2 linked regions of the Medicago truncatula genome follow. The main gene of each other region encodes a partner of the protein of the gene in region 2 in a complex. Links are inferred from orthologs where the notes say so. Each region holds a gene or a part of one and is shown on either strand. Other genes may lie near its edges.

Evidence for each region.
Region 1: the proteins of monothiol glutaredoxin-S14, chloroplastic (region 2) and protein BOLA2 are in contact, whole or in part, in an NMR structure (PDB 2MMA), measured with the Arabidopsis thaliana proteins. The link is inferred for Medicago truncatula from reciprocal best matches to the Arabidopsis thaliana genes CXIP1 and AT5G09830. Residues at the interface, in NP_191050.1 of Arabidopsis thaliana: Lys130, Ser133, Asn134, Trp135, Pro136, Thr137, Glu146, Phe147, Phe148, Asp152, Ile153, Glu156, Ala157, Thr160, Glu162, Glu165, Glu166; in NP_568217.1 of Arabidopsis thaliana: Arg46, Leu47, Leu48, Arg50, His51, Arg52, Asn55, Met62, Ile65, His66, Ala67, Leu68, Ser69, Ile70, Lys71, Gln74, Gln78.

Annotation. Positions count from the first base shown.
Region 1 is NC_053049.1:42,946,993-42,957,879, forward strand, and holds protein BOLA2, read right to left. Parts: upstream 3,841-10,887; 5' UTR 3,735-3,840; coding exon 3,672-3,734; intron 2,753-3,671; coding exon 2,730-2,752; intron 2,624-2,729; coding exon 2,428-2,623; 3' UTR 2,082-2,427; downstream 1-2,081. Other genes in the region: fibrillin protein 5 homolog, read right to left, coding at 413-535, 763-878, 989-1,241. UniProt on the Arabidopsis thaliana protein: May act either alone or in interaction with glutaredoxin as a redox-regulated transcriptional regulator, or as a factor regulating Fe-S cluster biogenesis. The GRXS17-BOLA2 heterodimer binds a labile, oxygen sensitive iron-sulfur cluster.
Region 2 is NC_053048.1:36,961,030-36,972,466, forward strand, and holds monothiol glutaredoxin-S14, chloroplastic, read right to left. Parts: upstream 4,195-11,437; 5' UTR 4,136-4,194; coding exon 3,916-4,135; intron 3,678-3,915; coding exon 3,408-3,677; intron 2,262-3,407; coding exon 2,206-2,261; 3' UTR 1,907-2,205; downstream 1-1,906. Other genes in the region: uncharacterized protein, read left to right, coding at 68-231; flavin mononucleotide hydrolase 1, chloroplatic, read right to left, coding at 6,126-6,249, 6,519-6,606, 6,784-6,854, 6,932-7,046, 7,896-7,947, 8,185-8,508; protein TRIGALACTOSYLDIACYLGLYCEROL 3, chloroplastic, read left to right, coding at 9,975-10,166, 10,345-10,473, 11,241-11,336, 11,418-11,437. UniProt on the Arabidopsis thaliana protein: May only reduce GSH-thiol disulfides, but not protein disulfides. Probably involved in the regulation of the redox state of the BOLA proteins. May act as Fe-S cluster donors to Fe-S cluster-requiring proteins.

The sequences.
Region 1 (10,887 bases), on a different chromosome or scaffold from region 2:
TCTATATATTTTTGATTCAATTTAGTCCTGCATGTGCTAAAAGACTCAAACGTTAACAATGTAGGCATAATTGACATGTAGTTCACTTTCTGCAGTAGTTTTATCGGGTCTAATTTGGGATCTTTTGGTTTTATGGATTCACAAACTCGTGACTACGTGCAATTAGCCGCATCTAGATTGTCCGATCAAAATCAAACGATCTAAATTTCAAGCTTAGTATTTTAGATTTTAAGAGCAAAGACGGATTAAGTAATTTTGACACAAAAATACGAAATTTATGATTGGAAACTATGCTTAGTTTTGTGCCTTCTGAAGTTTAATGTTATCATTATCAAATAAAATCAGTAAATCAAAAGTCAAAAGAAAAAGGGTCATATATCATATAAAATTGAGAAGTGCATTGTATTTGTACCTTGGTTTTATCAATAATCTGAAAGAAATCACCCAATGCGATAAAGTCTCTTAGGCCTAACTTTGTCCTTCTTGATCCCAAAATTGAGATAGTGCTATAAACAAGCCTCCAACACCCATCCACCTTCCAGTAATAGAAACATAACATGATTATGAAAGTTTGTGTATGACAATTAATATAGTTTAAAAAAATGTGATTTAGGCCTCGACATCAACTTTTTTATGTCTTTGCGGCCATAACACAGCCTCTTATGACACCACATCAACCACATTTAACTCGAACTCTCCATAATATCAAGAATCGCGGCATGACTGTACCGTGTCGATTTTAAAACCTTGACATGAAGTTACCTTCTCTAGTTCTAGTGTTGGTTCTGGAGTTGGATTTTGAGATTCTAGCTGCTTCACCAAAGTTTCAATTTCTAACTTCTTGCCGGATGGAATTCCAAATATCCCTCTGTTGATTCCTTCAAACACATTTGTTTACCCATTTCAAACAAATTACTCTTTCCACTTTGTTAACTAGTGTTAACAATAGCTCAGAATAACAAATAATAAGAATAATTGAAGATGCTACCTTCCAGAGCCTGGTAAAGCTCTCTTTTCTTCTGTCCAAGTGCTTCATCTTCAACTAAGCCATAGCCAGAAGATTGTTCTGCAACTTTAATGATAGTAATGGGTCTAAACCATAATGGCTTCTCACCAAATCTTGAAGTCTTTATCCATGAACGATTACTAACCGGTCCAAATCTTTGAAGTTTCATGATGTTCATGGTTCTACAAACCAGAGGAGAATCATTCATTGATGGATGCACTAGCTTAGTTATCATAATAACATTCAAGCTTAAATACAGAATAATGAAACAGGGTAGAGGATCATGGTGGTGACACCTCGCACGTTGTTCTTTCAAGTTTTCTGATAAAAGGGTGACTCAAAATTTTGATGACAGTGGAACTGTGTACATATTTGTTGTCTTTATTTGATTTTTTCTAATCAAGGTTTTTGGATAGGTCTTATCGAGACATGTGGTTAAAATTCATAGAATATATGAGGTCCATGAGATAGACACTGTACGTGTTGGTCTCTTACTTATTGACCTCAAAAGCCAAATGTTCCTATAGTATGCACAAATTGAGTACAATAAAAATAGTTGACGGCACTTGAAGTGGTTTCAACCATTCCTTCTATTCAGCGTACAAAAGTAATGACACGGTCATAAGATTTATGAATCAATTGTTTTCACAAGTGACGAGGAGGACTATAAAGCTTCTTAGTTCAGATGTGAAGAAAACAGTAGATTTTTAAGGCACCATTGAATCTTGTGTGTGGTGAGAAAAGGACACAATTGTCAGTGTAAAAGATGTGTGCATATTTGGACCTCTGGTAAATTTGACAAAATCACGGTGTGCTACCGTAACTTTAGCTAATATACACTTTGAAGGTTCAGCAAAACCACAATGCCTTCAGTTTACCAACTCACTGTCATGATATATCAGGACATAGCGAAAATCACCTAAAGGTTGAAACATAATACTCATCAATAACGCCATCCAAATGAACTAGCAAGGTTAAAAATTCAGACTGAAAACAAAACCCTCAGAAGAAAAATGAAAAGGACACCCACATATTCAAGTCAACAAGTTAAGTCCACATGAAGAATGAACTTGGAAAGAATTAAAATTTAGGAAAAATAGAAATTGATTGATCCATTCGGATTCAGACATGCAAGAAACCTTCATAAGTCATGCATTCTTAGCTTTTTACTTTGCCTTCATTTCTTCCAACTTTCATCTCTATTGAGCATGCTTACATGTATTCTAGTAAGCAATACCCAAGAAAGTATAAAAAGAACAATCATCATAAAATTACCCTACTGAAAGTCAGGGACTTTGTCAACTAAAATTTAGCAGTGCAACATAAAATTTGAGTGGCAGCAAATAATACATAGAACTATGATCCACAAATACTGCCAGCAATATATTGTAAGGGTTTTTTATTTATAAATATTATATGCTCTAGGCCGCAGGATTTGATTGGTTGGACTCTTGCTGTTTTTTCCACTGCTCTGGAGTTACAGCTTTCTTTACAGAGAGTGCATGAATCTCTTTCATTTCCTCCTCTAAGGCAGCATTCACCATTCGATGCCTTTCCAATAGCCTTTTTCCTTCAAATTGTTCTGAAACAATCTCAACTGCAAAACTTGAACCACACCTAATAATACCAACATGGAATTATAAGATTGTAAGATATAAGCGACAAGTATACGGTGGTAGAAAAAAGCTGATAAAAAATGTGTTGGATGGAAAACAAAACTTACCCGCCAGATATATCAGTTACTTCCTGAAACAAAAACAAACATAAGAAATTCAAAAGGAAAAGGAGAAGGTCATTGTCAAATACAAATGGAAGGTTCACATTTTCAAGTTGGTGCAGTAGTATAGTTTGTTCCTCATAACTCATGAACTCATATAAACTGTAAAACTGATAAATTGAAGGTTGATCATTTTCCCTTTCATAGGATGAAGTTCCATTTTTAACATATTTCACTAAGGATACTCTACACTGCATGTAATGTCGAGTCAAAAGTAAAGAGGAATCAGAGGATGTGCATTTTCAATGTACATGTATTTTGAAGCTGATTGTGTGATGTGGAAAAATGGTGGTCTCTCATTGGATGTCAGTGTAAAATTGTGGGCTGCCAGTGTGTAACCATTAAACTCAGGTAAAAATACTGATCATGTTAATAATCAGACCAGAGCAGTGTGAAAACTTCAAGAGTCAGACACTAATTTTACAGTCTCTTGATCAAAAGAAATTCCAAAATTGTAATATAGACTCCAGATAGCCATAGCTAACAACTATTAGGGTCCTTGAACTTGCATGAATATTGAATAAAATTACAACAACTTTCCTAAAAGTGTCTTTCGCTAGTCAATTCGGTCCTCGTTAGTTTGGTCATTGAATGTATTTTTCGTTAATTAGGCTGTCCATGAAACTACTAACCGAAACACACTAAATAATGTTTTTGAAGTTTCGATACATTTGGGAACAATTAGGGATTTTTTTGGATCTCCAATGCTAAGAGGCATGAAGCATGACAAAGGAATTGCACATTCCAATATAATAATTAGGGCTAAGGATGGAAAATAATAATATATACAAAATAAAATAAAAATGGTGTGTTGAAATTAAGCCATGTTTATTAGTGAAACGAGCGTAAATCAAAGGAAAGGAACGAAACTGGAAAAGAGAAACTTACAAGATGGGAAGGGTTGAGTTTGGAGTTCAAAGATGATTCGACTTGTTCCTTTGTCACACCCATTTCTATTTCTCTCTTGTGAGGTTTGCCCTTTCTGCTGTTCTTCAATTTCTCGTGTAAACCCTTTTGTGAAAGATATTCGCTTCTTAACTTGCCGTTGCTCACACGCGGATAGATAAAAGAAAAATAAGGCTTAATATATCATTTTCCTTAACTTATTTTCTTTTTTCATTTTAGTCTCGTAACAATTAAACGTCTCAATTTGATCCTATAAATCTTATGCAGTTTATTATTTTGATCATCTCCATTAGTTTTTAGTTTAAGCTGAATCATATTAAAGGTGGTCCATCATAGACTTTATAAATTCATTTAATTTAAACCCTTTAATATTTTTTTAAAAAGAGAACCGTTAGATTATATAGGTCTGTTGTATCTTACGGTGAACCATCAACACATAATTTTTTTCTTATTTCTACTTCTTCTTCCTTCATCACATTCATACTTTCTTGGTCAATCTTAATATAACCCAGAAAAAAATAACAACCACAACACATAATATCATCGTCAAAATCAAACACAGAAAACAAACAACAACCCTTCAAATTCAGAATCAAACCCAGAAAACAAACAACAACAACCCTTCTTAGAGAAACAAAACCAAATCATTCACATCAAAACTGTCAAATTCTGATTCAGTTCTTCTGCATTCGGATTCAATTCATTCACATCAAAATGAAATCATAATGAAAATGAGAGAAAGAGAGTAAGTGTTGTTGTATTGCCTATGGGTTTGTGATTTTAGTTCTTCTGCATCTGGGTTTTGTATAAAAATAATTTCAATAACTCAGCTTCAAACGCAATCCCATTCCGTATAAAGAAAACAAAAATAACCAACAGTTAAATCTATAAAATCCCTATAAATCTCATCGCACAAGAAAGGAGGTAGCGAGCCTTTAATTTCACCGTTTATATTAGGAAGAAGTGATGTTGTATAAACTGTGGAAGAAAGAAATGAATATATGTCTCAAATTGGAGAAGATTAATTTAATGGTAGAAGAAATGAATCACGAAGAAGTGAATCTATGGATTGCTGTGTTTTATTTTTAGTTTTTTTATTTTATTATTATTAATGGGATCTAACTAAAATTGAGATTTTAGTGAATAACGAAGAATCAATCAATTCTTATTTTTTATGTTTTTGTTTGTTCAATTTTTTTGGGTTTATATGAACTTAATAATTAAGATGACGAAGATCAAGAGGAGTAAGAGGGAAGGAGAAGAAGAAGAAGAAAAGGAAAAAAAAAATCAGATGTTGGTAGTTCACTATTATATACAATGGATCTGCAATCGGATGGTTGAAGTCATATCAACATTATTAGACATTAAAAAATTAACGGAGATGATTAAAATAGGTAACAGCGTAATATATAGAGGTCCAAATTGAGACGTTTAATAGTTAGGGAACCAAAATGAAAAACGAAAATAAGTTAAGGGATCAACTGATGTATTAAGCCGAAAAATAATTATCCTATTTTGTTATTCACTTCTTTTCATCATTTTTTTTAACATGAGTTTATTTTATTTTAACTAATATTTTTTAAAGAATTGTATTTTTTTTTTAGAAATTTGAATGTAAATAAGTAGGGTATATGCGATTTAAACCATGTCCCTTTTTTTTTTTTTTTTGGTCAGGTAGCCTAGTGCCTAGAAATTCACTTTTAAAGTGAATAAGTGGGGTGTCTGGGGTTCGAACCCCGGCCCCTGCATATAATAATGCATTGTCCCTGCCAACTGAGTTATGCTCACGGGGACAACCATGTCCCTTTCTATTGCAATATATTGTCACTATCAATTAAGTTAATTTTTTTAAAAGAATTGTTTTCTTCAAAAAAAAAAAGTTACACGCTACTGATCTAAAACTTATTTGCGCACACAATTAATATCATTTCACATAGAATTTTATGGAGATGGTTTTTTTATAAGAAAAAAAAATTACGAAATTAAATGAGACAAACTATTACATCTTACATCATCTTCTGGTAGAAGTTTCAAAGTCGAACGAAAAACATTGCAAACATAAATATAATTAAAATACAATGAAGAATGTATGAGATTTGTCAACAGATCAACACATTGTTTAGCCTCGCAATGCACTTGACAAACTGAAGTTCTCCATATAGGACGGTGGATAAGAGAGATCACCTCATGGAGAAGAGAATTTTGAGATGAACCTGAAGTAACCATATTAACCATGATCATAGAATCCATTTCAAAAATGGTGTTTCTAATATTCAATTGACTCGTCATATCTATTCCAGTGTATTTAAAGGCCCCAAAAGTTATGCCCACGAGGCAGATAAAGTGACAATTATGTTGTCGAAACCACGTATATTCCTACCATGTCAATATCTAATCAAACCTCCACGACTAGATATTCATGTTGACTTTTTATGATATTCACCAATATTAAACTTATAATGATCGTCTGGTAGAGATGACCAAAAGACCTTGACATTGTGTCTCGATGGATGAGAATGAAATTAGACATTAGAATTTAGAATTGATAGAGAAAATAGTGAAATTAGCATAGTTGGTTATTTGACATAGAACTTGGTTACCAATCAAAGATTTCCCATTGAACATTAGGCTATTTCTATCTTTCCAAAGCTCATAAACGTCAACTCCAAAGAACATTTGGCGATTGTTATGTATTGTGTCAATATTAAGAGTTTTGATATTCTAGTCGAGCCATTGAAACAATCCAAGACTAAAGAAATTGCTCCAAACATATTGAGAAACTAGACCATTCCACAACATGTTTGCTTCTACGCAATCTCTTAAGACATATATAATTGTCTCTTGATAGTCACCATATATAATACAAAGATTGTCTCTAGTCATACTTATATGATACCTTTCATCATTAGTTAGAATTTTACCATGAAAGATATTAAGGTTTGTTGAGAAGAAGTGATGTTTACCATGTATGATAGAATACGGTGATTTGAGAGAGAAATCTCCATCTCTGGTAAGGTTTCTTCAAAGAAAGACAGATTTTTCATTAAAGGGAGGCTTGATAACTGTAATTTTCTCATAAATTTATTGAGGAAGAAGTTGATTGAGCAATTCCCAGTTCCATCGGCCATCAAAAACATAATGAGAGACAGAAAACTCCATATGGACAACGGAAAAACCATTGGAGGCGATATTTTGCAAAGGGCCATAATCTCAAATCCAAACATATTTTCAAAACCAAACACGATGACCATTCTTAATATACCTAGTTATGTTTCTAGAGACATCCTTCTAAACACTAACAATAACCCTCCAAGTAAAAGTAGAAATAGATGAATTATTATTTACTGTCGAAAATCTAAGATCATCGCAAGAGTATTTAGCACTATCATGACCCAAAATTTATATGGACAAATAATTAAATGTCAAATCAATTTCATTATATAAATCAAATTCAATCATTGAATTTTTCTTAAACCGCCCCCTCATGTGGGAGGCGAACTTGTTCTCATGATGAGATGTGTTGCAACAAAAAATCTGCAATAATGTGAAGAGTTATCAAAAAATGAAAAACATTGATTAAAAGATGAATCACTAATTTTCATTTTCTATTTTTTCCACTTCCATTTAAAAAAAAAATAAAAAAAATACTTGGCACGCTTACAAATCCCAAAATTCGAAAACTTTAAACCTCTAACAACCGCGTAACAAACTCACACGATTACAAAATCTCTCTAACAGTTTCACTCCCCCGCGCGCGCGTATATAAGTACTTCACTCTGCATTTCATCCTCGTTCCATTCATTTTCCCTCTCTCAGAATTGAAATCAAATCTTCAATCACTGCTTCTTCTACTTTTTCTCAAACAACCATGGAAAGCTCTTCAACCTTTTCTTCTCTTCGATTCTCGATGCTCTTCGCAATCTTCTTCACCGTCATGCTTTCCGGTGACAAGGTCACCGCCACTGAAGGTTTCGAACCTTCAATCCCACCGCTACCTCCACATGATCTTCAAGAACATTCGTTCTTCTCTCACACCACATTACTTCCACCGATCTTGTCTCATCTCGGATTTCACGAGCTTGCAACCGCCGCTCCGTCGCTCTCCGATGCCGCAACCACCGCTTCCTCTGCTTGGACCGGTCCTTCTACCATTTTCGCTCCCTCCGATGCTTCGCTTCGCACTTGCTTTTCTTGCTCTGTTCCGAATCTCCTCCGTGAACACATCGTTCCAGGTTTATTCACTATCGAGTATTTGCGTACGCTTCCTTTTGGCACCAAGATCGAGACGCTCAGTCCAGGCCGTTGCATAACCGTCACTTCCGATTCGATTCATTCGAACATTACTACCGGCGGTGCTCCAAAAGTTTTCATCGGAGGCGTTGAGATTGCTCAACCGGATCTATTCAACAACGGAATGGTTGTTGTTCACGGCCTTCAAGGTTTCGTCTCTACACTTTCTCCGTTTTCTTGTGACGTTGAGAGAATGACTTCACTCTCCTTTCCGTTTCATCCTGATCACCGTTCCAGTGCTCACGTTCACACTCACGGCGTCACCGTGCTCCCTGCTATAATGCGCCTCATGCTACGAGATGCAATGCTCAGGCTCCGTAATAACGGTTTCAGCATCCTCTCCCTTGCGATGAAGGTAAAATACGCAGAGCTCATAACTCTCAACAACATGACTATTTTCGCCGTTGATGATCTTTCTATATTCTCCGGTTCTCAATCGTACATCAGCAATGTGCGATTCCATATCATACCGAATTATTACTTGTCGATCGCCGATCTTGAGAAGCTTCCAGTTGGAACTGCTCTGCCTACATTGGAGCGAGGTCAGCCGCTTCTGATCACTACTTCCGGCGGAGGAGTGACATCAGCGCCGATGAGGATTAACTATGTGAGAGTTAAGGTTGCTGACGTCATCCGCAATGTGAAGATAGTTGTGCACAGTGTGTATTTGCCTTTTCCGCATATCAATCCTATTGCGGCTGCTTATGATACTATATTAGGAGGTGAAGGAGCGTCGGAAGGAGCAGGTGTTGGAGCCGGAGCATCAACTTTATTAGATTCTCCAGGTCAGGCGACGGAAGAAACCTGCTCTGCTCTTGATGGACGTGGTGGTTGTGCTGCTGGTGTCACTACTACAGCAGGTGTGTCTCCCATGCCTCAGGTCAAGCCAATGGTTGAGATTGAAGATCACCATGGCCTGTGAGTGCGATGCTTCGATGATGATGAAGATTGCGGTTTAGTTCTTTCTCTGCTGAAGTGAATCTCTATGAAATTTGTAGTTAATAAGTTTACAGTTACACTGTTGTTCATGTACTAAAGTGAAACTCTGAATTTGTAGTTAACTCGCATTGTTGTTTAGTTTGTGGCTTTGTGCTGCGCTTCTTTCTCCGTTGAAGTGAAACTTTGAATTTGTAGTTAATTCACATTGTTATCAAAGGCTTTGTGGCTTTGTTGTTTTATTAGTTCTTTAATAAACCGTTTGTTGATTTAGTCTTTACAGTTTTCTTGAGATTATCTTGGTGTTTCCATGCATGGTTTCTGCTTTGGTGTCAACTATAATGAGAGCACATTGTCATTCTTGTTGGGTTTAATTAAATGATTTAGTAACTGGTCCAATTGAACAATCCATTTGAAATTTATTTACAACAGTGAAATAAAATTATCAGAGGAAGTCATGGTTGTTGGATCAAAGAAAGGTACCTAATAAACATCTTAAAGCACTTACAGAAATAGAGAGAGTAAAGAGAAAGTGAGAGGGAAAGAGATGGATTGGTTAATGTTTTCGCCTCATGCTGACAAAATTCAGAAATTAGGCAACATTTGCGATAAAGATGATTTTGAGCTATGGCGTACGCTATATCAAAGTCTCACTGCTGGAATTTTCATATCTCTTTCGGCATGAGATCCACATGCTGGAATTGACATGTTGACCATGACCACTACTCGTCTACACCATGATTCTGATGAAGCAGGAGACATGCGCCGACTCATTGCATGAGTTAAGGCTTGAACAGCACTGGCTGGGCAATTAGAATGTTCTAGAGACATGGATTTAATCGCATATGAATCCCACGGATTGATTGACAGAAGTGAAAGAGCACAAGTAAAAAAATCTTGTTTAAAATGTAATGAAATCTTCTACACCTGCAATAGTTAAAAAAATTCAGCACAAAAAATGTGGCAATAGATGTGAAATAACCTGGATTGATACTCTTGGTTGCAAGGACTTTGGATGTAAAATGGACATTGAAATCAACAGAAAGCATAGTGACAGTACTTGTTGTGCATGTTTTGCCAGGCTAAATATGTAGCAGTCTTTGAATTAGCAAATGGACTCATCTGTTGCTTTCCATCTGCAGAACCGAAATATATTAGAAGACAGAAGAGAATAGTAAAATTTGCATAATCGCGAAATGAATGACTTGCAATTAACTATAACAAAACAACCAAAAGTGGATCTTCTTTGGTCTAACTTTTGACTAACAACAAAATGTCAAGTTGTATTTTTACTAAATCAGGTTTTAAAGATGGCATACTCGTAAAAATCTAGTTAGTAAAGACTTCGGCTTAGGAACATCATAATCACACTCAAGTCCAAACAATCATGATAATTATTTGTATCATGCTGTAATTCTTTAAAAACTTAATTAGTCTCTTAAACGTGCCTATAACTCTATCCAGTATCCATCATTCCATCCCACAACTCTAATAGCAACATCCCTTCTGACAATAATAAATTATCAAAATTAATAACTAAAACATAGACTAAATAACATGACTATTACTTTGCATGGTTCTTATGAAATTGTCACAGCTAGAACTCTTGAACACGCTTAACTTATTCATGTTACAGAAGATTAAGCCTCTTTACCATCAAAACGTGTGACAGTTAAAAATCCAATAAGTTCCATGAAATAAAATAAAAGTTGAGCAGAACATACAAGGGGTTCAAAAGACAGGAAATTGTAGCAAGTTAAGTTCTGCCACATCACATTTAATGTTCATTGTAACTTGCAAGGAGCAAAGAAATGTGATGTTAAGCATGTCAAGTTAAGAAGTTCAGCCACATCACGCTTAATGGTCTTATATTTCTACATTTCATTTTTTCAGCTTTAACAACCAATAATAGATAACAAGCAGAAACTGTGATGAACTGCAAAACTAAAAACAAAAGTATTACCAAACTGTT
Region 2 (11,437 bases):
TCGAAAATCGTACTGTGGTGCTTTTGCTACCTCTAATGGATATAACTTATATGCAAATATGATGCAGAATGCAAGAGTGGTTCTGAAATGGACATGTCCGATGTTCAGAAGAATCTCAAAAATCTGTATGAGTATAATGGCATGTTAAGGGAAAGATTATTAGCTGCGCAGTCTCTGCTCCACTCCTCCTCATCTAACCACTCTTCCCAAATAAAGAGCAACGAAACTTAGCATAGGTGTCTTTGCATCAACCGATCATCAGACCATTCCATGAATTTTACAAGCATGATTCAACAGTGGAAGTTGATTCTTGATTGAAACCTGTCCAAGAAGAGTTAATGGTTGTAAAATCTTTAAGTGGGAGAATGTGCTGAATAGATCTCTTCAAAACCATAGTATTCCTAGCCGAATATTCCTGCATTGAAGCTGCTGTGTCTGGACAAAACATGCCGCCGATCCATATTTGATTTTGTCCGATATTCTTTGATGATTATTGTTGTCATCGTCTAATATTCTTTACCACTCTTCTGAAACTGATTTTCCATGTTCATATATGTTTCGTCAAACCTTGTATATAGCCAGTGCAGTATTTTGTGTAAAGGAGAGTGGATTGTGAGTAATAGTTCTTCAGAATGTAACATAATTTCCCATTTTTATTCTTTATGGATTTTTTATGTTATGATATGCTGAGTGACTTTTTATTTTCACTATAGATAAATTTCTCTAGAAGGGTTATACAATTAAGAGCATCCAATAAGCATGTACATCCCTTGTTTGTTGGAATGAACAGACACAAACAACTGGGTTGAGTCTAAAAAAGCATGGATGTTATCTTTTGTCGTATTTTCAGATGATGTTTTCCAATTTCCGACCACTGCCATTAATTTTTAATTTTTTTCTCCCATGCAGATACCACTAACCCCTTTAGCTTGTTTAAGAATCACATTCCCAATGTTGTCAAAACTAAAAAAATGAGTTAGCTTTCAATTTGAGCCCGACTTCCAATTGATATCATTATCCAGCTAAAGTCACAATCACATATGTCTTCATTCACTCAATCTTATAAAAAAAGATCATAACACAAGTATTACTATATGACGATTGCCCCTCTTACAAATTTTTTGATAGATATGTTGGCAAATCCTTCCACCAATAAATTTATGGCCACATTTCAATTAGAGAGGCAAAACCCTTGATCTTTTCAATAAATTTTAGGAAAATATCCTCATATTTTAAGAATAGGAAATGTTAAGGTTAAGGAATTAGAAAAGGAAATATTTTCTTAGAAATTGTGTATTCTATTTTTTAAAAGTTGAAATATTGTCATTTTCAATGCGAATCATGTCCACTAGTTAACAAGACCCTTTAGGAATTTGTCCCACCAACTTCTCTTCAGTACATTGGCATTTGGCATTTGGCACACTAAGCTTCACAGGTTAATTGTATTGAATTGGATAACATACCTTATACATCTAAGTGCACAATCTACATGCTACAGCTAGACTTCTACCATTTTTTAGAAGCATATTGCATAGAGGAAGCTAATTTTGTAACTATTGTGACTACCGGGTAGAGCCAGTATTACAAAAACCAGACCGATGATTAACCCAATTTAAAAAAAGGGTTTAGTAGTGGATCATGTGGTTGAACCATAGATCAATGCCATAACATCCGGTTTATAAGCACAACCATGGGTCCAGTTCTCGGCTGAACCGGTTCGAAGGTCAGTCTGGTCTGATTTTTCTTTAAAACAGTGGTATCATGTTACAAAGTAGCAACATAACAGTTTAACAGAAAAATTCAAACCGAGGCTACAAACCTCATGTCATGACAATGTATAAGAAAGAGTTAGACAAACTGGGGGTCTGTTGTAAACAGAACAGACCTTGCATTTGTAGGAGACTGATTTCACAATTTAAATCAATGAATGATCTTGTAGTAGTTATCCCGATCATGGCAGTTTAACAAAAGTGAGAAAATTGATTAATGGAACAACATTTGCAGCTGCAACTAGCACTATAATTGTCCATTCAATGAGATATTCTACTTTGTATTCAAATGCCAGAATAATTGCAATGTAGCATACATACTCGTACTCATAATCATAATAGACATTTGTGGACACAAAATGTATTATACAAATATCCATCATCCCAGAGCCATTGTATAACTTAGTGATGATTATGCTCATCAGCAAATGAGACTTCAGGAGCACATTGCCTTCTCCACTAGTTCCTGCAATTCTCCATTCTTATATGCCTCTGCAGCCATAAACAAGGTGAGATTAAAACAATTATTTTCGAGAAATTAAAGGTCGATAATAACAGTCTTATCCGATGCTAAAAAATAAACTTAATAACTGATTCTTATGCAGTCAATAGTAACATCATGCAGTAAACATATGAAAGCTGGAGGACCTACTCGAAAACAATTTTTCTTTTTCAACTTTTATGGATCAATTACAAGGAAGCAAGGTATGTACATGTAACAGTAAAAAAGATTAATATGTGCAAACTGGCATTTTGTAAACATCAATTTTGCAATAGCTGATAAAAAAAAAAAAATCTCTGTAACCGACGTGATAGAATATTTGTCAGGTTACTAGCATTTAAACCAATCTGGCCGTCTTTTGTATTTCTAGCTTTTCTTCAAATTCAATCTTTAGATAAAACTCTTCCCATTTCTTTAGGTTCTATTTAGTGAATCTTAAATCTTCAAAAAATGAGAAGGAAAGTATATAGGCGAAACCTATGGTATGATATCTCCATTAGTTTAATATGATAACTAATCACTAGTAGCGACTTGATTAGAATATTTCCTAACTCAAATGTAAAATGTGAAATTTATCATAGCTCTTTCTATTACTAATTATCCATCATGGAAGCAAACCAAATTAAACAACAACAACAACCAAGCCTTATCCCACTAAGCGGGGCCGGCTACATAGATCACGACGCATAATGGTCTATCATATACCATATTTATATCAAACTCATTAATCTCTAGATCTTTCTTAAAAGATTTTTTTATAGTTTTTTTATGTCTTCCTCTGTCTCAGTGTTTTGACTACTCTCCATCTGATATGATCTCCTTACTACATAATCTCGAGGTCTTCTATTTACATGCCAAAATCACCTAAGCCTAGTTTCCACCATCTTTTCTACTATAGGTGTTACCCTAACTCTCTAATGTTGTCATTTCTAATCATATCCCATCTAATCTTACCACACATCCAACACAACATCCTCATCTCTGCTACACTTAGTTTATTTCCAAGTTGGTTCTTGACAGACCAAGACAATGTCTTATACAACATTATCACCAAGGCAACATTGATTGATGAGGCCAATATTGTCCAACACAAAGACACAAACAAGAATGAAAATCAGAAATTCAAGAGGACATACCAACAGTGATATCACATCCTCCAAAAAACTCTCCATCGATATAGAGCTGAGGAAAGGTAGGCCAACTGGAATATTCCTTCAGTCCCTGGCGCAACATATCATTGTCCAATATGTTAATCGTTTCAAAAGACGCATTCAAAGACCTCAAAATTTGCACAACCGTATTTGAGAATCCACACTGTGGAAAATCCTTAGTACCCTTCATAAACAAAACTATTTTGTTTGATGTAACAACCTTATCCAATGTGGTCTTCAATTCAGGAGTCAAAGCTGAAACAAATCAAAATCAGAAAAAACCCAAGTTGCATATAAGACTATATAATCATATTCTTATCTATGAAATTGTAAATAGTAAAAAAAAAAAATTGAAAAAAATAGAGTTAACCCTACAAGGGGCTTTTGTGAATTGTGAAAAACTGAAGGGTGAAATTGAAATGGGGGAATTAAAGATTGTAACTCTATAGTAATTAAGTGAAAACCCATGAAGGAAAAGAGGTTTAAGAAGTACCAGAACAGCGAATTGTGGTGGAAAAACGTTGTTTGAGTTGAAATTTGGGTTGGGAATGTAAAATAGTGTTTTGTTTGAGAACAAGAGATGAACGAGGTGGAAGAGACAATGACGAGGTTGTTGTTGTTGTTGTTCCAGAAACATGGGAGTTGAAGCATGATGTTGTTGGGTGCAAGTGTACTTGCAAAGGGAATGGTTTAACGCACGAACTGAAAGACATGATTGTTTGTTCAGTTTCTGAGTTCAACTCCAATCGCAATTCTCTCTCCAAGTGTTACTATTTGTTTTATGTGAGAAGATATTAACTAATTTGTGATAACTTTTGTACGACTTTCTCTCTCACACTTAAATCTTATCTTCTCTCTTCATTTTTCTTTCTATTATTTTTGACCAATAAAAAGAGAGAAAAATAAGATTGTCATTAAAGTTGTCATAGAATGTATGTACAAATATCATTGCTCTTGTTTTATCAATTATCAAATCATGGATGAGGGGTAGCCAAAAAAAATAAAATTGATGGATGAGGTCTATTATTATCTTTGAACAAAAATAAAAATAATTATTTGCAATTTGGAAATGATATCCACAAACATATTTTACACATGTGAAAAAAAAAATTAAATTTGGTATCGAATTCAAGGACCGACTAATATGAGGAAATTAATTTCACCGCCCACTTGTGTGGGGGGGGGGGGGTCCGTTCTAAGCCCACTTATAAATTTGTTAATTTTCGTTGTTGGATAAATTATCACCGATTTTTTAAAGATAACTTAAAGAAAACTTATCAATTTGCTAAAAACATATATTATATTATTTATCTATATCATTTAGTAGTCTCTTTGGCAATCTTGTGTTGAAGGGGTTGCTTAAGTTTTGTTAATATAATTCATTTTGGTTTAAATTTTCTTTAAGTTATCTTTAAAAAATCGGTGATAATTTATCCAACAACGAAAATTTTAAAAAAATATTATATCATTCTATAAATGCAACTTAGAAGTTAACTAAGTATCTCCTCCGAAAAGAAAAAACCAGAAGTTAACTATTATCATTGGTTGGGGTAGCTTCTAATAAATAATAATTGTTTTACAATAAAAACTTGTTCATCTTAGTTGATTTAACATATGCATTAATAATAATATAATACAGTAATATATGTAATATTACACATGTTAAATAAATCTTATGAAGATATTAAAAAATTAAACTTAATATTATTAAAGAGATCGCGGTGTTGTTTAGTAAAAAGTAAAAGAATAGTTCGCTATTTGCTTTATCACATGGCTCCTAGCTTTGTAACTAAACAAGTCCTTTCATTTTATAAGCTCTAGCTTAATTCTGTAGTTGCACCAGTCGATGTGGGACTAAGACATTAAACATACTGTACGCACATAATAATGCTTTTTGTTTCCAGTAGATCGTCTGTGCCTCAGCAAATAGCCTTACAAATATGGTTAATCTTTTCTTCTAGATTTCATGTTTCAGATCATTTTGAATTTCATTATCAAAGCAGAACAAAAGGAATATTTCATCATGAAAAATAACCCTTCTGTGGAATCAATTAGCTTCAACATTCAACACCATGTATAATGAAAATATCAAGCCAATGGGAGCACTATTTGTATGCTAAGGATGGGATGGTTTTCAATTGGTTGAGTAATTTTGTCCCTCAAATTTGTTTTCACTTCTTCAACACCCTCAATTGTTCCATGCTAGCTGAGGATGATTTTAGTGAAGACTTTTGTTATGCATTGGTTCATTATTGTAATTGCGTTTAAACCATTGTCTTCACATCAAGAAAGGACTCTTCCCATTTTCTCTTCTTCTGTTGGATGTGTTATTTTCAAACAGTCTTCCACAAAAAGGTTGAATTATTGTATAAACCTTAATTAATACTAAAAATATATTTATACTTTTCTTAAGTGTTTTAGAGGGCATGAGAGAACTTGTTTTTCTTTTTGAATTAAAGAAGCTATAAAATGTTTTTAAAGATAAATTTACGTGTCATTGAATTAATATATGATCATCTCTCATGTTGATTTTTCAGTTCTTTTAAATCTCAATTATACACCAAAATATAGACTTAAACCTTCATTTTAACAAAGCTCAATAGCATGATATGAATGAATAATATACAATTAAGAATCTGGCTTATCCCTTTTTCACCGTGTAAAAGAAATTGGTGTATTGAGAGAAATAAAAAAATAAAAAAACTATTGATCTTCATCAGTTGAAATGTCAACCCCCAACAATGACAATTCTTCGCGCAGTAAATCGACATTCTTGAAATGTACACCCTTGATCCCAACTTCAGCTGCTGCCTGCACATTTTTTGGCCTGAGAAGACAATAACTATATAATTAGACACACCTTGTGATAAACTACTTTGATAGGTTGGTCATTAGCAAATTCAAATGAAATAATCTGCTTATGTCTTCTGCTTGATTAGAGGTGAGGCGGGATGAGGGAGATATTTACATTGGGTGCCAAGATGCCAGTACATAAGCATTGCATACAAATCTTTGTGTATTGTGTTATTGATAAATTGTAACTGATATCATGGTTTGATTTTCATAAATAATCTGATGTATAGAAATATTAGAAACCTGTCATCTATGAAAATACAATATTCTGGATCAACTTCAAGATGTCTCACAACTTCCTTATAGAATTCAGTATCCGGTTTCCTCTTTCCTGAAACACAATAAAAATGGCTCTATAATATTCAAGGTTTGCATAAAAGGATAGTTTGAGTGTATAGTTTGACCTTTAAATGATGAGTTCTTTTTTTCGGTCCAACTAGGATATAGATAATATCATAATCAAACAAAAAGATGATGAACACAAAAGGCATAGAGTGAGAGAGCCTACCAAGTGTACACGAACAAAACGTCCAAGATAAATATTTTGATAGCTTTAACTTGTCTTCGATCAACTGATACCTACAGTACAAAACATCATTACGTAGAATGCCACGAAATGAAAACCAGATATCGCAATAGAAAATTCATTTTCTTACCATATAGGATAATTAGTAAAAGCATGCATCTCAAAGTTATTTTTCTTTAAGGCAAGAAGCAATTGTTCAACCCCTTCTATGTATGAATACCCATTTCTCATACAAGTTTTAAGGCCTGTCATAGAAATAGAAGAACACATGCAAGTCAGTGGCTATATCAAAATAGAGGGGTTTGGAGCACAAAAATGATACAAGGAGTACATTATGAATGCTCTCGTTGAATTTTAACGTTGACACCAAATTACTGACCTATTTCAATTAGCACATAAAAGTAACATATAGCTGGTGAAGGTAGGATAAAGACAACAGTTTATATTGGAAAATGAGGACTTGTTTGTAGTGTAACTCTAACTTATCTACCTTAATGTTAATAATGACCCAAAATATATTACCATTTACAATGTCGTGCATAAAAACTAAATTCACACTAATTCAACGAGAGTCAAGTGGTGTAGAATTTGGATGCGATAGACAACACATAATATCTTGTCTATATGAATGGTGGTTTGTTGAAATATCCATTGCTTGCGCATTCCACAACTATTTTGGTTTCATTTCTACAACTATTTTGGGGCTCTGTGGTCTGGACTTATGTTCAGGTGTACAAGTACATCATGTACTAGAGAACTGGTCTTTATTTTGAGTAATAAAGAACCATAACATTGTTTTTGGCAAAAGTGAGAAAAGAAAAGCTTACATGTTTTGTAGTAATATACATAATAAATAATAATCCAGACCATATGCGTAAACCACATTTAATTTGTACCTCCAAATTATCTTCATTTTTTAACCAAAATTTCATAATATGCAACCAGCAATTCTTAAAAAAAATGGAATTTTTATTTATTATATTAACAAGTAATCTACATCTGATAAAGTTATAATTATATTTGTTCAATTCATCACACATGAGATTAAAATACTAAGTGATCAACTCTATCTAGCAACAAAATCTGAGACAAACCTTCTAAATCAAAATCCCTTCCATCCTTAAAAAACTTTCTTTCTAGCTCTGCCTGAAAGAAAAGAAAACTACTGATAAAAGCAGAAACTATCAAATTATCAATACATTTAATACAAAAGTTCTAAGAAATTTGAGAAGATAACATCAAAACAAGCATACCCAAATTCCCCAATTGCATTTTTAAATTCATAATTGTAAAAAAGATTCAATCTTTATACATAACATGAAAAAGGGTCACTTAATTTTGCAATGAATTTTATCAAAATTTAATGCTTTATTTTAGTTTTACCTCATCAATAAGACCCTTTTCAAATTCAATCCATGAAGTTGGATGTTTGCAATCTATGAGTTCATTGAAAGACATTCCAAAGAATTCTGGGATGTCTTTGTAAAAAGGGTCACGAACAATTGTATCCATGATGTCAAATAACAGAATTGGAAGTTTTCTGTTTGTGTTTTTGGGGAATGATGACATGTTTGTGATTGAATTTGAAAGTGAAGGTTTTAAGTAATTTGTTGGTGGTGTTGTTTGTGTTCTAAGTGTTTTGTGGATTGAGAATGAAGAGAATGGTGTTGTAACATTTGGTAACACCATTTTTGCAATTGTTTTCATCTAAATTCATGGGGTCGTAGCTCACTTTAATATGAATATGGATATGGACAATCTTGCTTGTAAATTAGAGTCCAAATAGGAACAACTAAGGTAGGGTATAACCAATTTAATAATAATATATAATTTTTGGGAGTGATTGGAGTACCAATAGGCATGATGCATTGCTTCAAAAACAAAAATAGGCATGATGAATGAAAAGAGGATGTATTAAGTAAGTATATAGGATTTTTCTACTACATTTTTCACATGAAATGTTGCATTAATATTGAGTTGAATTATTTTGAGACATCAAAATTCTGCAAGGTTTACATGGTGAATACAGTATAAGGATGCTAACAAATGTTTTTAGGATGTTTCCTTAAAAAAAAAAGTTTTTAAGACGTTTGTCAAAATATATATGATTTTATATGTTTTGATATATATGATGATACTCATTAGCTATGATTTAAGTTTAAATATACACTTATATTTGTTACAAATTACTTAATATATTTATAATTTATTCCAATCCATAATCTTCTCAAAATCTATTATAACCATAAAAAACACTTAAAAAATGTATCTAAGTTTTTTAGAAAATTTATATTTTTATAATGACTTACATTCAACTCATGTGCCACTTTTTTAATATATGCATAGTAATAGATTAGAGACTATATTACAAACAAGAGTTTGTCACTTTTCGTAATATATGCATAATTATAGATTAGAGATTAGATTATAAACAAGAGTTGGTTTGGATGAAAGTAGTTAGATTTTCATATCACGATGAGGTAAGATACGAATTCATGAATGGAGATAGCTATAAATACTCTGACGCTCAAGTTAGTAAGAAAATAAGATGTGAGATATATTTTTTGTTAATAAAAGTATATTTTGCTTTGTATTGAATGCTTGTATTTATATGACGCGAGGGTAGTTGTTAAAGCCGTTACGAATGGCGAGCTTTATTGAACGAAGTTGACAATCGTTGAAGACAATTTAAATCATGGGAGACATTACAAATCACAAGGATAATATGCAAATAGTTGTTGCGACGTCTAAGTGAGTTCTATGTTTGGAGCTCGAGTAGGATTGAACTTCGTCCTAGTCCGGAACAAATATATTTTTTTAAATAAGTTTTTATCACTAAATAAAAATAATTGGATAGATTATTAAATAATAATGTTGGAAAAATAAAAAAAAAAAAAAGAAGAGAAAGATCTATGCAAAAAGTCCCTCTAAGACAAGTGCAATAGCCATCTTCTGGGAAAGTAGTGGCTCCTCAGAATCACCGACCACCAATTCATTCCCCTTTGACTCAATCATCTTCTTCATCAATCATCACTCTTTAAAATTCTACACCCCCCATTCTCCACCCTTTTGAAAATTCTACACCCCCCTTCTCCACATGAATCACATGCTACTTTCCATATCCACAACCCAATAATTTCACCACCTACACTTCCCTTTCAATTCCTTCAACCATGGTTTCCCTTTCAATTCCTTTCTTCCCCCTCACTCCACAAAAAACAACTTCCCCTTCTACTAAATTCCAACCCAAAAACAACTACTTAAATCCATTCCATCACAATAAACATCACAGAAAAGTTATATGTGCTTGCATCGCTCCTCCACAAAATTTCAAAGCACAGGACTCTTCCTCCATTCAATTCAATGTAACACAACAAAAAGTTCCTTCCTTTTTGCTTGCCCATCTTTTGTTTTACCTTTTTTTATTCATTTTTTGATGTGGGGTTGGTGATAAACTCAATTTGGTTTTGTGGGTATCATCAAGTTTTGTTCTTTTTATGTTTTGTTGTGTTTTTGACATAAAATGTATTTGTTATTTGTTAGGGTTCATCTAAATCAGAACAATTGAACAAGGCGCGGGACCATGAGGATGATTCTGATGTTCTTATTGAGTGTAGAGATGTTTATAAGTCTTTTGGGGAAAAGAAAATCTTAAATGGTGTCAGCTTCAAGGTGATTCATTTTATCATTCATTGTCTTTACTTTTCTCTTAGCTTTTAGGTTGAATTCTTAATATATAATTCGAGTGTGATATTTAGGATGTGTTTGGATAGGCAACTTAGTTTAGACCTTATTCAGTATAAACGGTTGTAGTATAAGAACTTATGGATAAGCTATTTCCACAATTGAATAGGAGTGAGGATCAACTCTGCGTAAACTGCAAAGAGCCTATAGATATATCATGAGTTTATTTTCATTAGTTTAATTGTTGCAAACATAAGATATTTGCTAAGTTTGAATTATAACTTTGAGGTTAAGTTTATTCATCGTCAAGCGAATATGGTTACCCGTAGCCTTGTTAAGGCGCCCATTTCCAATGCTAGTCGACTATTTTATGACCGTGTTCCTCCTTGTATCTAACATTATTTGATTAATGATATGAGTTGAGTTTGCTTTGCTAAAAAAAAAAAAAAAAAAACTGTTCCGAAAATTCCTCTACCCAAGTGTTGTAATTTTTTTTGGTCTAACCTTCAAGCTTTTAGACAAAAGGGGACCAAAGTGTTTGTAACAAGATAAAGTTGAACAAGTTGTTCTGAAGATTAGTATGATACAAACTAATAATGAGTGGGGTCTGTTCCATGAACAACCTTTGTGTGCTCTATCTAATAACAAAAACCATGATAATTCACCGACACCGAATTATCAGTGAAAAGTTGTAGGATGCCTTGCTGATTGGAAACTTACTAAAATATTTCCACCTTTTTTAACAATATGAATAGATCAGACATGGTGAAGCTGTTGGAATAATTGGTCCCTCCGGGACTGGCAAATCTACAATTTTGAAGATTATTGCAGGACTTCTTGCTCCGGACAAGGTAAGCTTGGTTTAGGCATGTGCTTTTTATTTAGAATAATTGTGATAACTTTTTGAGTGTTAACTCTTGTTCAATGACCAGGGAGAAGTTTATATTCGAGG